2 linked regions of the Nothobranchius furzeri genome follow. The protein of the gene in region 1 binds, or shares a complex with, the protein of each later gene. Links are inferred from orthologs where the notes say so. Each region holds a gene or a part of one and is shown on either strand. Other genes may lie near its edges.

Region 1 (5,836 bases):
CTCGGCCTGCATGGAGAAAACATCAAAAATGAAAAAATAAGCTCTTTTATCTGTAAGAATATTGAATTAAAACACTTTACCTCCACCAGGTATGTGTCGATGATGTTCTCCCGAGGGAGGAACCAGTGTTCCACTTCCTCTTGGTTCATGACAGGCACCAGGTTGAATTGGCTCAGGTACTCACGGAGGAGGCGATGCACCACCGGGATGTCCTTCTTGGTCATCGGTCGCAGACCAGAAGTCTTTGGTGCCTGGAGGAGAAAATACAGTGAACAGGAGGTTCAAAGTATAATGGGGAGCATGTGTAGATTTGTGTCTCTCTGCACACACCTCTGGCAAGCGGTACAACTTCATGGTGCGCTGCATAGTCATGTTTCTGCTCAGGTGGGAGAATTTCACTTCAATTAGTTTTCTTGGGTTCAAAGAGCGATGCCAGTACCTGTGGAAGTTAATGATCATTAAAGCTGTAAAAGATGAAAACTAAGGTTTATTTGCCAGACAAACCTGCACGTGCCCACCGGTTTGGGCAGCACCACTCCTGCAGTGTACACCGCCTGGAAGATACCCTGCAGGTTGACCCTTCTAGTGATCTCTCTGATCAGAACTGGAGCCACTCGCTTGGCGCGAAGCTTCTTGTGGACACAGAGGAAGTTGATCTCAACCATTTTCTTTTCTCTAAGAAAAACAAACATTAAAAAGAAAACGGTTACGTCAGACTTGTATGCTGTGAAATATTCACTGACATTTATGAAGAACTTCCATGACTACTTCAAGGTGTGGATCACTCATTAAACAAATACGTTTGCAGAGGTCTCGAGTAGGAATGAATGACTTGGAAGGTGGTGGGGGAGCTCTGGCGCACCATATTCAGGAACTAGAAGTGAGCCGCATCAGAGCTGAGCGTCAGACGGCAGGTTTAGGATTTTTTTCTGGACATCTCACCTCTGATTGGATAACAGCAATGTGACTACCACTGACTCTGCTCTGCAACGTTGAGGTTTAATCTCCACAAACAACTCAAGCCTGACAAAGTTCTGCTGTGTGGCGGAGATGCTAAAACTAACGGTTAGCTTCTACTAGCTGAGATCTTCTCTGCCGTTTCCTGGACGCTAAACCAACAACAGCCTTCCTCGTTGTGAGTCAAGATGGGTGAGTCCATGAATGTTCAGTGACAGTGTGACGTAGATCTGTCAGGATTTTCCAAATCCTAGAGTTTCATCATCAATTTTCTATCAGAAGCTAATGCAGGAGATAGGTGTAGGAGATTATTTTCATGTTCAGCCTGCATAAAAAACTGTGACCTATTATCAGAAATAAGATTTAAAAATGAGTTTTCAGCGTTCCACACTTTTCAGGTAACTGAGACACAACCTGAACGGTCTACTCAACGCTACAGAGTTTCCTTACATGTCGTAGATGTGGATGTTGGCTGGAATAGCGCTGATAAACCCGACCAGCTTCTGGTTGGAGTTCACTCTTACTCCACAATGCCACTGAGGCAACCAGCCTGGAGGCCGCAGGGCCCTGAGCAGGAAACGGATTTGAAGACCAGTTAAGCAGTGTAATGAGTAACTACATACATTTAAAAATATTCAGTTACTTTAACATTTGCTGCAAGTGTAAAGCTGAAAGTGTTTCATTTGTACCAGAGCAAGAAGTCAGGAGAGTAGTCAAATCTGAACATGTTGTCGTCATCTTCCACATAGTTTTCATTGAGAAGAGTGTAAAGCTCCTTGAGCTGGTTTTAAACCGATAAAAGCAGAAATAAAGCACCAGTAAGTTTTAAATGTTATGAAAATAAACAATTACACAAAAATAATTCATCTTTCCAACATCTGTCATTAGTAGTTATACATTTTTCATTCATGAATTAAAAACAAAACATGCACCGATACACACTAAGGTTGGGTCATTTTCAAGCGATATTCGACAGTCCCAAATAAATGATGACGTGTGATTTTGGCACAGGAGATGTTAAGAGGTTCTGTGGGCCGGCACACTGCATAGAGCGCTCCACCATTCACTAATGTTTTTACTCCCTTTGCAGAAGCAAGCTGCAAGGTCTTCAAATGAGACGTTGCTTCTATCTAAATTTCACTGGCTAGTTGATGCTTCAATAAATCATAAACTGAGCCATAGTTCGTTGACGCTACACACCAGACCAGAGGGTTAGTACTTCTAACCTATCAGCCAATAGCTGATGAATTTGCCTCAGCAGAGAGTGGGTAGCCCTACACCTGCTGGTCCGGGAAGAAGCTAACATTGGATGCTAACAGGGATTATGAGCATCTGAGGAAATTTTTTAATGGTTTCTGCAATCTATTATGTTGGATTGTGAAAGTAAGACCATTGTTGTTGGAGAAGGCTCTATTCTGTCAGTGATATGAGGCTCTGAATGGTGAGTTACACATTATTTTGAATTTCCAAGTGGTTTGACTAAAGCATTTACCATGTCTACAGTTATGGTCGAATCCTTGATTCCGATAGGTCAGTGAAGTCACAAGACTCCCAAATCATATATTCTCAATCACTCGCGCGCGTGCACACACACACACGCGCACGCACACACAGTAGCCTCGTTAATCTTCATGATTTCCTGTATTAATTGTTGGTTATTACAATTTAAAAAATCTCAGTTGAATATGTCATATAGGAGACACACACAGTGGTGTTTGACAAGTGAAACAAAGTTTATAGGATTTACAGAAAGTGTGCAATAATCTTTTAAACAAAATTAGGCAGGTGCATAAGCTACACACTTCCTATAGCTTCCAATTCAATTCAATTCAAGTTTATTTATATAGCGCCAAATCACGACAAGAGTCATCTCAAGGCACTTCACATGATAAACATTCAAATTCAGGTCATTTCATTAAGCCAATCAGAAATAATGTTTCCTATATAAGGAACCCAGCAAATTGCATCAAGTCACTGACTAGTGTCAGTGACTTTACAGCAATCCTCATACTAAACAAGCATAAAGCGACAGTGAAGAGGAAAACTCCCTTTTAACAGGAAGAAACCTCCAGAGAATTCTGGCTCAGTATAAGCAGCCATCTACCACGACTCACTGGGGATCGAGAAGACAGAGCAGACACACACACACACACACACACACACACACACACACACACACACACACACACACACACACACACACACACACACACACACACACACACACACACACACACACACACACACACACACACACACACACACACACACACACACACACACACACACACACACACACACACACACACACACACACACACACACACACACACACACACACACACACACACACACACACACACACACACACACACACACACACACACACACACACACACAGACAGACAGACAGACAGACAGACAGACAGAGAGGCTGAAGGTATTCTGGACCATTTTCTTATTCCAGAATGAAGCTGGCTTGTCCAAATGTGCTTTAGCAAACCTCTGTTGGTGCTGTGGGCAGAGAAAAGGCTTCCTCTGCATCACTCTCACATACAGCATCTCCTTGTGTAAAGTGCACTGAATAGTTGAATGATGCATATCGACTCCATCCGCAGCAAGATGATGTTGTATGTCTTTGGTCTGTGGGTTGGCTCGGACTATTCTCACCATTCTTCACTTCTGTTTATCTGAGATTGTTCTTGCTCTGCCACTTGGAGCCTTAACTTGAACTGTACCTGTGGTCTTCTATTTCCTCAATATGTTCCTAACTGTGGAAACAGACAGCTGAAATCTCTGAAGCCCCCTTCAGACAGGCCATGGAAAATGGAAATGTTCGGGACTCTGTCCTTAAGACCTTTGTGTCTGAATACAAACATCCGGATAACCTTTTCCGTGATTAAACTGGACGAAGCCCCTAGTAACAGAACCGGACTCGCCATGGACAGGGTGGCTGCTTCAGACTGGTGAGGTCGAGTTCCGGACAGGGAGGAGGGAGAGGAGGGGACCGGGGGACGCTGTGCGCACCTAGATTGTTCGCTCCTGTAGCATGCGGCGAACCATGGCAGCTCGCCTCCTATGCGCTCCTACGGTACAGTCTCCTAGACGCGCGACGGAGCGCTTCAAACCGCTTCCGTGATTCCTTTAACCATTGAGTTTCATCATCCAGGTCTCTTATGCGTCTTTGTGTGCACATAATTATGCTTAATATAAGTCCGATCAGTGAGAGGAATTCTATCTCTTCGTCGGCCATGTTTGACTAAATAGCTTTGGTTGGGTAAATGATGCATGTACGCCCGGCGCACTATGTTTACGCAATATCTGGTCTGACATCTGAAACTTTTCCCTGCTGTGTGAAGGCAGCCGAAGGGACAAGTTCAGATACAAAAGTGGTGTGTCTGAAAACACAGTTCTGGTTAAAAACCAGACTGAATTGTCCACACATATTCCAGAATGTCAATCTGAAAAGGGCTAGAGACAGCTTTCTGTATCCTTCCCCTAAACCATGACGGTGAACAATCATGAGCTGTTTTTACAGGACCAGAGCGTTTGCAAAACGGGATTTGCCGCGGCTCCCTGGGGAGGATAATGATCATTTATAAGATCAGCCCGTGGCAGTAATGTGGCGCAATCGTGGCAATTTTATAAAAGATTAGGTGATGGCGGCATAAAGCGGGTATAGGGGTGGTCTCTGCGCTGCCGCAGACTTCCGTTTATCTTGGACATAACTTGCTTTTTATTGCGAATGAAGCCATGATCGTTACATTTTTTTAACAAGCAGCTCCTAAAGGTGTCTGTCCCCATCAGTCCCTGTGCAGTCTCTGGTGATTTGAGCTTCAGCTCTAACAGAGAGGCTCATGCAGCGCTGCGGCGCTCCAGTTTGCCATCTCAGCTGATTTTGTTCAAAAAGCAAGCCTTACCGCCTGTGTTTACTTTCATTTTCCATAAATTTGCCAACCCGGAGCTCAGCAATAACTCCCCACATCATCATGACATCTGCCTCTGTTGCGCCAGGGCGCATACGACAGACCATTACCGCAATATTACTACCAAGCGAGGCGGAACGAATGCCGCAAAATTCGCGCAACGCCATGCCGGCATGGCGCGTTTATACACATACCACTGCGGTAATATTACGCCAATTTGCCAGCATGGTGTGTCTTATAAAAAGGGCTTTGTTTTCAGCTCATGTGAGAGTTGTTGTGAGGCCCCCATGTTGCTACTCTTTAGAGAATATTCAAAGAGGACGGAAACTTACAATTGGCCCCCTTAAGGAATCACCCATGGGTGTTTTTAGCCCATTTTTGGGGATGCTGAAACACCGCTAAATCAACTCCCAGCACCCCTAAAATTTGAGAATTAGAAACATTTTTTACTATATGTTTTTTAAAGACACTTGTAAAATATAAAAAGCATACAGTGCTTGGTTGAAACATTATATTTCAACAACAAAAATGCAGCAAATCTCCCCTGCCTCAAAAGCGGTTTGTTCACCTTTGCCAGAGTCTTCCTTCCCGAGTGGCTGATACGCTGTAGTTACTTAACGGTTTGAGTTGTTTCAGATACATGCAAATCAAACCGTTATGAAGCACATTAAAGAACAGTTATACTTTAATTGAATCCTTGATTGTTTATTCTTGTTAGAATTCTGAGAACAAATGTCAGGAGTCCAACATTAGATCTGACCTTTTTCACAAATAATAGTCAGTGATCTCTTTTTGCCTCTCCCCTAAATATCTACTAAATGAGATTTGACATTTTTGAAAAAACATCATTTTATTTGTATTTGGTTGTAATGTGAAGGAGAAAAAAATATTGCAAAAAGAGAATGGATATGTATTTTTCCAAAAGGAGGTTGATATTAGTGGAAAATGTATTA
Region 2 (6,354 bases), on another chromosome or scaffold:
GGTCCACTGAGCTCGTGACTCTGTCACTGTGAGTGTCGTTGCCTCTTGACAACTTGCAAAATTAACACGTTTACTTAGATCTGCCCTCCATCCCTCAGAGGTTTCAGCAGCACTGCTGCTCTCTCTGTGCAGTGCCAGAGCGATCGTTCAGAAAATCACTTCTGGACAAACTAAGCTCTTTTTAGATCAAAAACATTTTCCAGACTTTGTATTTCATTATCATCTTAAAATAAGTGTGGCTTCTCGCCACACAGTGCTAGGTTTAATACATTTGGATAAGAGGTGCTGAAAAAATAAAAATAAATAGCTACTTCACCTTCTAAGATCTTATTGGAATAAAGAGTTTTATTTTAGGCCTGGTCTTCTTGCTTGTCTGTTGACACGTAGGGTATTTGCCAGAGAAAATAAATAAGTGCTCATTCTTCTAATACCAAAGCGAAAAGAGATACAGGCATGGAGAAATATAAGTCCTCAATCTGTCAAGAACTAAAGGAAAGCACTGACTAAAACAGCAGACAAGGCTCCTCGTGGGAGGGCAAGAGAACGACGTAATAAGATGAAAGACGACAGAAATGATAGACTCGGAGTAATCGCACAGGGAGAGAAAGGCTTGGTGCCCCTCTCAGCGATAGCTAACCAGATAAAATCCTAATTGTACTATTCCCTTCCACACGCAAAGAGGGCAATTAGGAGAATAACACAAAAGAGACAGGGTTAGAGGGTAACAGAGAAAGACAACAAGCACAGGACAGCAGCAAGTGGTCCAGCCCAGCATGATGCCTAATCTTCCTCCACTGCAATTTCCTGCTACAACAGCCCTCCTCGCTTCTGCTGTGGAGACCAACCACACAAATAACACTGTCATTAAGCAGCCAGTGGATGTCAACTCCCACCCACACCTGCACTGTTCAAATAATCACAGCGCTGCACTCCAGAAATAACACAAACGATTAAAAATAGTTTTCAAAGCAGACACTGATGGTGTTAACCATAAATGTGAAATGTGCTCAATTTTGATAGAAAAAACTTGAGAATTTTCTTTTTCATGTATCAACGAGTTGGAAAGGTTACAGAAGCAGTACTTATTTATTTATTTGTTTGTTTTTGTCTAGCTCTGCTATGCAGAAATGTTGATAATTTTACAGTAAAGCATTAAAAAAGATTTAACTTAGTAAATCTACCAACAAAGAAGAGTTCTGCAGCAAAACCCATGAAACCACACGACAGCTGACACAAACTCAGGTTCCTTATTAGGGCTGCACAATATATCATAAATATATCGTTATCGCAATATCAGCATGCACAATATGCATATCGCAAAGAACAGGTAAATATCACAAATGTTTGCTAAACATAATGCATTCTGTCAACGAAACGGAAGCATGATGCTTTTTTTAACAAATCAAATAGAGCTCTTTACCCATTTGGCCAATTGGGTGGGTTCTCATAGGTTAGATGCCCGCCCCCGAGGCGGACAGCACTTAATTTAGATGGTTAGCAAACACCTGAGTTAGCTTTGTTCTGCTCTTTTTGCTGATTCTGCTTTTCCCGGGATCAACTGATTGTCTTTTCTTGTTCATTTTCTTTTTACCTTTCTTCACATCCTTTGCTTTTCTCATTTTTATGATTTTTTTTTATTTCTTTGTTTTTGATTATTTTTGTTCTTGAGTTAAGTTTTTATTTATCGCAAGTAATATCGTCATTGCAATATTAATCATTGCTATCGAATACCGCAGGTTTTCCGTGCAGGCCTATTCCTTATATTTAAGTTTCCACATCATGATTTAAATATGCTGATTCCAACTTTCTGTCTGACCTTAACGAATCTGTTTGCTACACATTGAACTGTAAATTTAAATCAAATAAGCCTGACATTTAGCTGCAGCTCTGTTCTATCAATAATGACCAGAGTGAAGAATCCCTCTAGGCTGTAGAGAGGGTCACAGAAGGTGGAATTTGCAGCATCAATATATGTATTTTCATATATTAAACTTTATTTAACCAAAGTTACAAAGTGTTTAATAAAGTTATCATTTTTATAAAGACAGGCAGAAACTCACAGTAGGTTTTCCTTGTCAGCTCCTCCACCACCTCCGGTTTGAGCTTGCTGTTTGATTTTCCCATGATCTTCAGCTCTCATCCACACCTCCAGAATCGCTGTGGGACACGGCACCTGTTACTACCTCGCTCCAGTGTGCTCCTCTGCCAGAAACATGCAACAACCGTGGGCTGATTTAGGATACAAATGACACTGTTTTCTTAAAAGGCAAAACACTATTTTGTTTTGGTCTGTGTCGATGGAGAAAAAAAAGAAGGGGGGGAACTCCCATTCAAGCTACGTGAGTCTATCCTTCACTCTAGCTGTGGTCATGATCTGCACTGTCATCATCCCTGGCACATCAGACATCAAACCCCAGGGGTTTTGTGAGGCTGTTGAGTCTATCTGAGCACCACTGAGCGTCTGAGCGTCCGCCTCACTTCTTCACAGCAGTCCGTGGGCGAGGAGTGGCTTTCGGATGCGTTGCTACCTTCGTCCTTGGATACAAGAGTCACTCAAATGCTGGGTTAAGCACACTCTGCCTCACAGTCGCTCACTGTTCTTTTTACTCCACCCACCCCTCCTTTCCCACCACTATCTCTACTGCTCAGCGTACATTACAGCAGAACAGAATCCCCCCATTCTGAGATAAGGAGATGAGTACACTAAAATGCAATTAATAGGCCTTAGTTTTGCTCAAAGAGCATCAATTCTATTAACTAAATAAATACCAAGCATGTGTCACATGTTTCTACTGTTTTGAATACCTGCTCTACAGTAAAAAAGGTATCTGGTACTGCTCTTAAAATAAGCATTGTGCACTCTCTAGAAAGTTTAAGCAGATCGAAGAGTGACAGTTTTTTTACTCCTACATTCTGACTCATAATTTTCCCTCCCTCCCTGCCTCTCCACAGAATGGCTTGGTGATTTCCCTCCTTGTCACAGCAGTCAAGAGAGATAGGGATAATGGAATTTCTTTGTGTCACAGGCCTGGTATTGGCATGCACTGATTTCTAACAACAGCATCTGTCTGAGACGTGCTACGCAGAAAACTACTGCACCTTCAGTGCTAACATTTGCTCTCTTTGTCCAAAGTCCTTCTAAGGGATGCCACGCTGGTGATCACCATCTTTTGTTTGCACAACCGTTTTAGATCCTGGAAGCTGTAAAAATAAACAAAACAGCAGTTAGGATGAAACTGGCAACCTGTGATGGTTTTACTGGAAATTGGAATGGGATGGAATGGAATTCAAATAAAGGAAAAACACTGAGAAGCAGATGACTTGTTTTTTTTTTTTTTTTTTTTTTTTTTTTACCTCTAGAAGCTGCAGAGGCTAAACTCTTCCAGTGTAGGCTACTCCATTAAATTAGTTAATTAAATGGTTCTAAAGAAACCGAAAGTCATAAACAGTAAAACTCCTTTACAAACGTTTGACAGGTGTGTGTGTGTGTGTGTGTGTGTGTGTGTGTGTGTGTGTGTGTGTGTGTGTGTGTGTGTGTGTGTGTGTGTGTGTGTGTGTGTGTGTGTGTGTGTGTGTGTGTGTGTGTGTGTGTGTGTGTGTGTGTGATGGCAGCAGCAGGTGGGATGTTGCCTTTCGGCACCATAGCAACGCAGTTTATGGCTACAGGACAACAGGGACAATGCGAGGCTCGCTAGTCCACTCGCCACGTTTGGTACCCACGCGCTGTTCAGAGCTGCCAGTTGACCGTAAAAATAAAAATGCTTCAAGCTTTCGGGAAGAAATACTTTAGGATTTACCTGCGCTACTGGAGTATGAGGACTTGGTCCAGGCTGACCCACAACAGAGCGTATAGAAAGCAGTGAACCGCTGTCCTCTTCCGCCGAGCGCGCGCCGCCTCTCGCTGCTGCTAGCCCCGGCTGACCGTCAGTGCTCCTCTGATGTGCCGCCGTCAGGGAGTGACGTAGCTGCTGCTGCTGGCCCCCGACAGAGTCGCTGACGTCGCGGTACCAGCAACGGTCATACACAGACTCTTTGTGTGCCTGCACAGCCTTTACACGTGTCATTTTTCCATACCGAGAAAGGAGAGCAGACACACACCACGTTTACTATCAAGTCTTCACTGCGAAGTATAAAAAGGTGGTTTAGCTAGTTTATCGTTACCAGATTTTTTTTTTCAGTGGCCCCAGTCTGGTCCCATTTGTGAAAACTTTCCGAAGTTTTTTTTTACATATATTTAAATCAGGCACCCCTGAATTAGTTTAAAGCGTAATTATCTTATCCAAAATCCATCCATTTCTGCACTTAACAAGTGCATCATCCATGCACCTATGCATACATCATCCAGCCCTGCACCCACGCATTCATCAGTTCATCCATGCGTCATTCATTCATCCATGCCCAAATGTGCAAATACATAGTTCGGAATTGGTCTGGACCAACGGACTCAATACCTTATTTGCACGTCCATGAGACGTTAGCTGTTTGCAAGGGCATCCATCCATTCATGTATCAATTCATTTATGCATCTATTTGTCCATCCATCCATCCATCCATCTATCCACCCATTCATCCTGCCCTTAGAAATATCCGTGTCACATTAGTTATCAATTGTTCTATTTCTATTTGCTTTTATTTGTCCTAGGTGTGAGAATAATTAAAACACATTTTTAGCTTGGTTTCTTAACTCAGCTTGGTAATTTTGTTTGTTGTTTCAAGTTTTTAATTGGATCTTAATAATTGGATGAGAAAAATATATGGGGGTGTCATTTGAGCCACAGGCTTGTTAATTTGCTACAAGGGCATGCAATGTCTCCGTTACTGGGTTTAAAATATATTTGCACTTATGCAAGTGTGATCATCAACTCCAATTTTCATCTAATTGATAAAATGAAAAGTGAGTCTATTTTGCAGCAACAGTCAGCGTTTATCCTTTGCAATCACTAAACGCAAAGAGAACATCACAGTTCACTGCAACATATTTATGCTGATTTGAGTACAAATCTAAAGTTCCCAAACTGAACTATAGCCCAAATGTTTTTTTTGTAATCATGAAGACATTTTCCTGGAAAAATTCCATCAAAAATGCTATCTCCCTTCAGTCACAAACATCATCATAAAACTGTTTTCAGATGTAGTTCCTCAGATTTTTTCATTAAGATTACTGATCTATGTAATGCAGCATCTCCCACTGGGACAAAATGCAAAACAAGAATGATGCAAACTGATTTCAGCTGTACTTGTTAGAAGAGATGGGAAGAATCGTTTTGAAGTTTTGAACATGCACTGGTGTCTTATTTTCCTAAAACAATGATGCAAGAACAAGTCCTTTTCCCACAAGCCTCATTTGTAAACTTAGTTTCTCAATTGCTTAAAACTTCATCATCTCATCGAAAATGGCTTAAATTCTTACTGATATTGGCCCGGGTTTGGACGAGTGGATGAGTAGAGGGAGGTGGAGTGTACAAGTCATCTGTTAAATTAATTACAGATTCACTTAGATAAAGACAATGAAGTTTATCTGTTACGAAATATCTAAGAAATCAGTGTGTGTGTGTGTGTGTGTGTGTGTGTGTGTGTGTGTGTGTGTGTGTGTGTGTGTGTGTGTGTGTGTGTGTGTGTGTGTGTGTGTGTCTTCTCAAACCCCCGTGAGATGGCAGATAGCAGCTCAGAGCCAGGTTCTGCTGGAGGTTTCTCCCTGTTAAAAGAGTTTTCCTCTCCACTGTCGCTAAGTGCCTGCAAGGCCGGATTAACCATATGGGCAACTGGGCAATTGCCCAGGGGCCCACGAACTCCAAAGGGCCCAGGCCAACAAGGGCACGAGCAAAATACTGTATCTGTAATCTCCCGCTTTATATTAAACTAGGGTGACCATACGTCCTCTTTTCCCCGGACATGTCCACTTTTCACTCTCTGTCTGGGCGTCCGGGGGTTTTTCATCCAGGAGCAGGGATCGAATTATGGGGGAAATGGATATCCTACACATCCAGGGGAGCCGGATAAAACGTTTTCTACCTATATTACATCATTCATGAACTCTTTCGAGCAGAGAGCACATATAGCGATCATCGTTGGCGTTCAGCGCTCCAGGCAGCTGCGTCCAGCGCACGGTCCATTCTCAAAGTGGCGCAACCAAAAAACTATAATTAACACCAGGGCCAGATTAACGCTTTGTTGTACCCTGGGCAACAATATTAAAGGGCCCCATCATCACGACCCAAGGATCACCATAATATGGTCACATACAGAATAAATTACTGTAATGTGCAGTAAATATACTCAATACTTGAATGCCTGACATCACGTAACCCACTCAGGGTAACCTTTGACCCACCTCGTGTGGACTGACCAATGAGG

Evidence for each region.
Region 2: the proteins of nmt1a (region 1) and neuronal calcium sensor 1 are in contact, whole or in part, in a crystal structure (PDB 5O9S), measured with the Homo sapiens proteins. The link is inferred for Nothobranchius furzeri from reciprocal best matches to the Homo sapiens genes NMT1 and NCS1. Residues at the interface, in NP_066565.1 of Homo sapiens: Tyr180, Val181, Glu182, Asp183, Asp184, Asp185, Met187, Phe188, Arg189, Phe190, Tyr192, Asn246, Thr282, Ala283, Gly284, Arg295, Tyr296, His298, Ser300, Lys310, Phe311, Ser312, Tyr401, Leu403, Ser405, Tyr420, Gly468, Ile469, Gly470, Asp471; in NP_055101.2 of Homo sapiens: Gly2, Lys3, Ser4, Asn5, Ser6, Lys7, Leu8, Lys9.

What each region holds. Positions count from the first base shown.
Region 1 is NC_091745.1:11,800,862-11,806,697, forward strand, and holds part of nmt1a (glycylpeptide N-tetradecanoyltransferase 1), read right to left. Parts: intron 1,739-5,836; coding exon 1,647-1,738; intron 1,525-1,646; coding exon 1,408-1,524; intron 676-1,407; coding exon 505-675; intron 440-504; coding exon 331-439; intron 252-330; coding exon 81-251; intron 7-80; coding exon 1-6.
Region 2 is NC_091757.1:35,612,215-35,618,568, reverse strand, and holds the start of neuronal calcium sensor 1, read right to left. Parts: upstream 3,938-6,354; 5' UTR 3,798-3,937; intron 3,202-3,797; 5' UTR 3,100-3,201; intron 2,203-3,099; exon of another isoform or gene 2,158-2,202; 5' UTR 2,125-2,157; coding exon 2,061-2,124; intron 1-2,060. UniProt on the Homo sapiens protein: Neuronal calcium sensor, regulator of G protein-coupled receptor phosphorylation in a calcium dependent manner. Directly regulates GRK1 (RHOK), but not GRK2 to GRK5. Can substitute for calmodulin. Stimulates PI4KB kinase activity.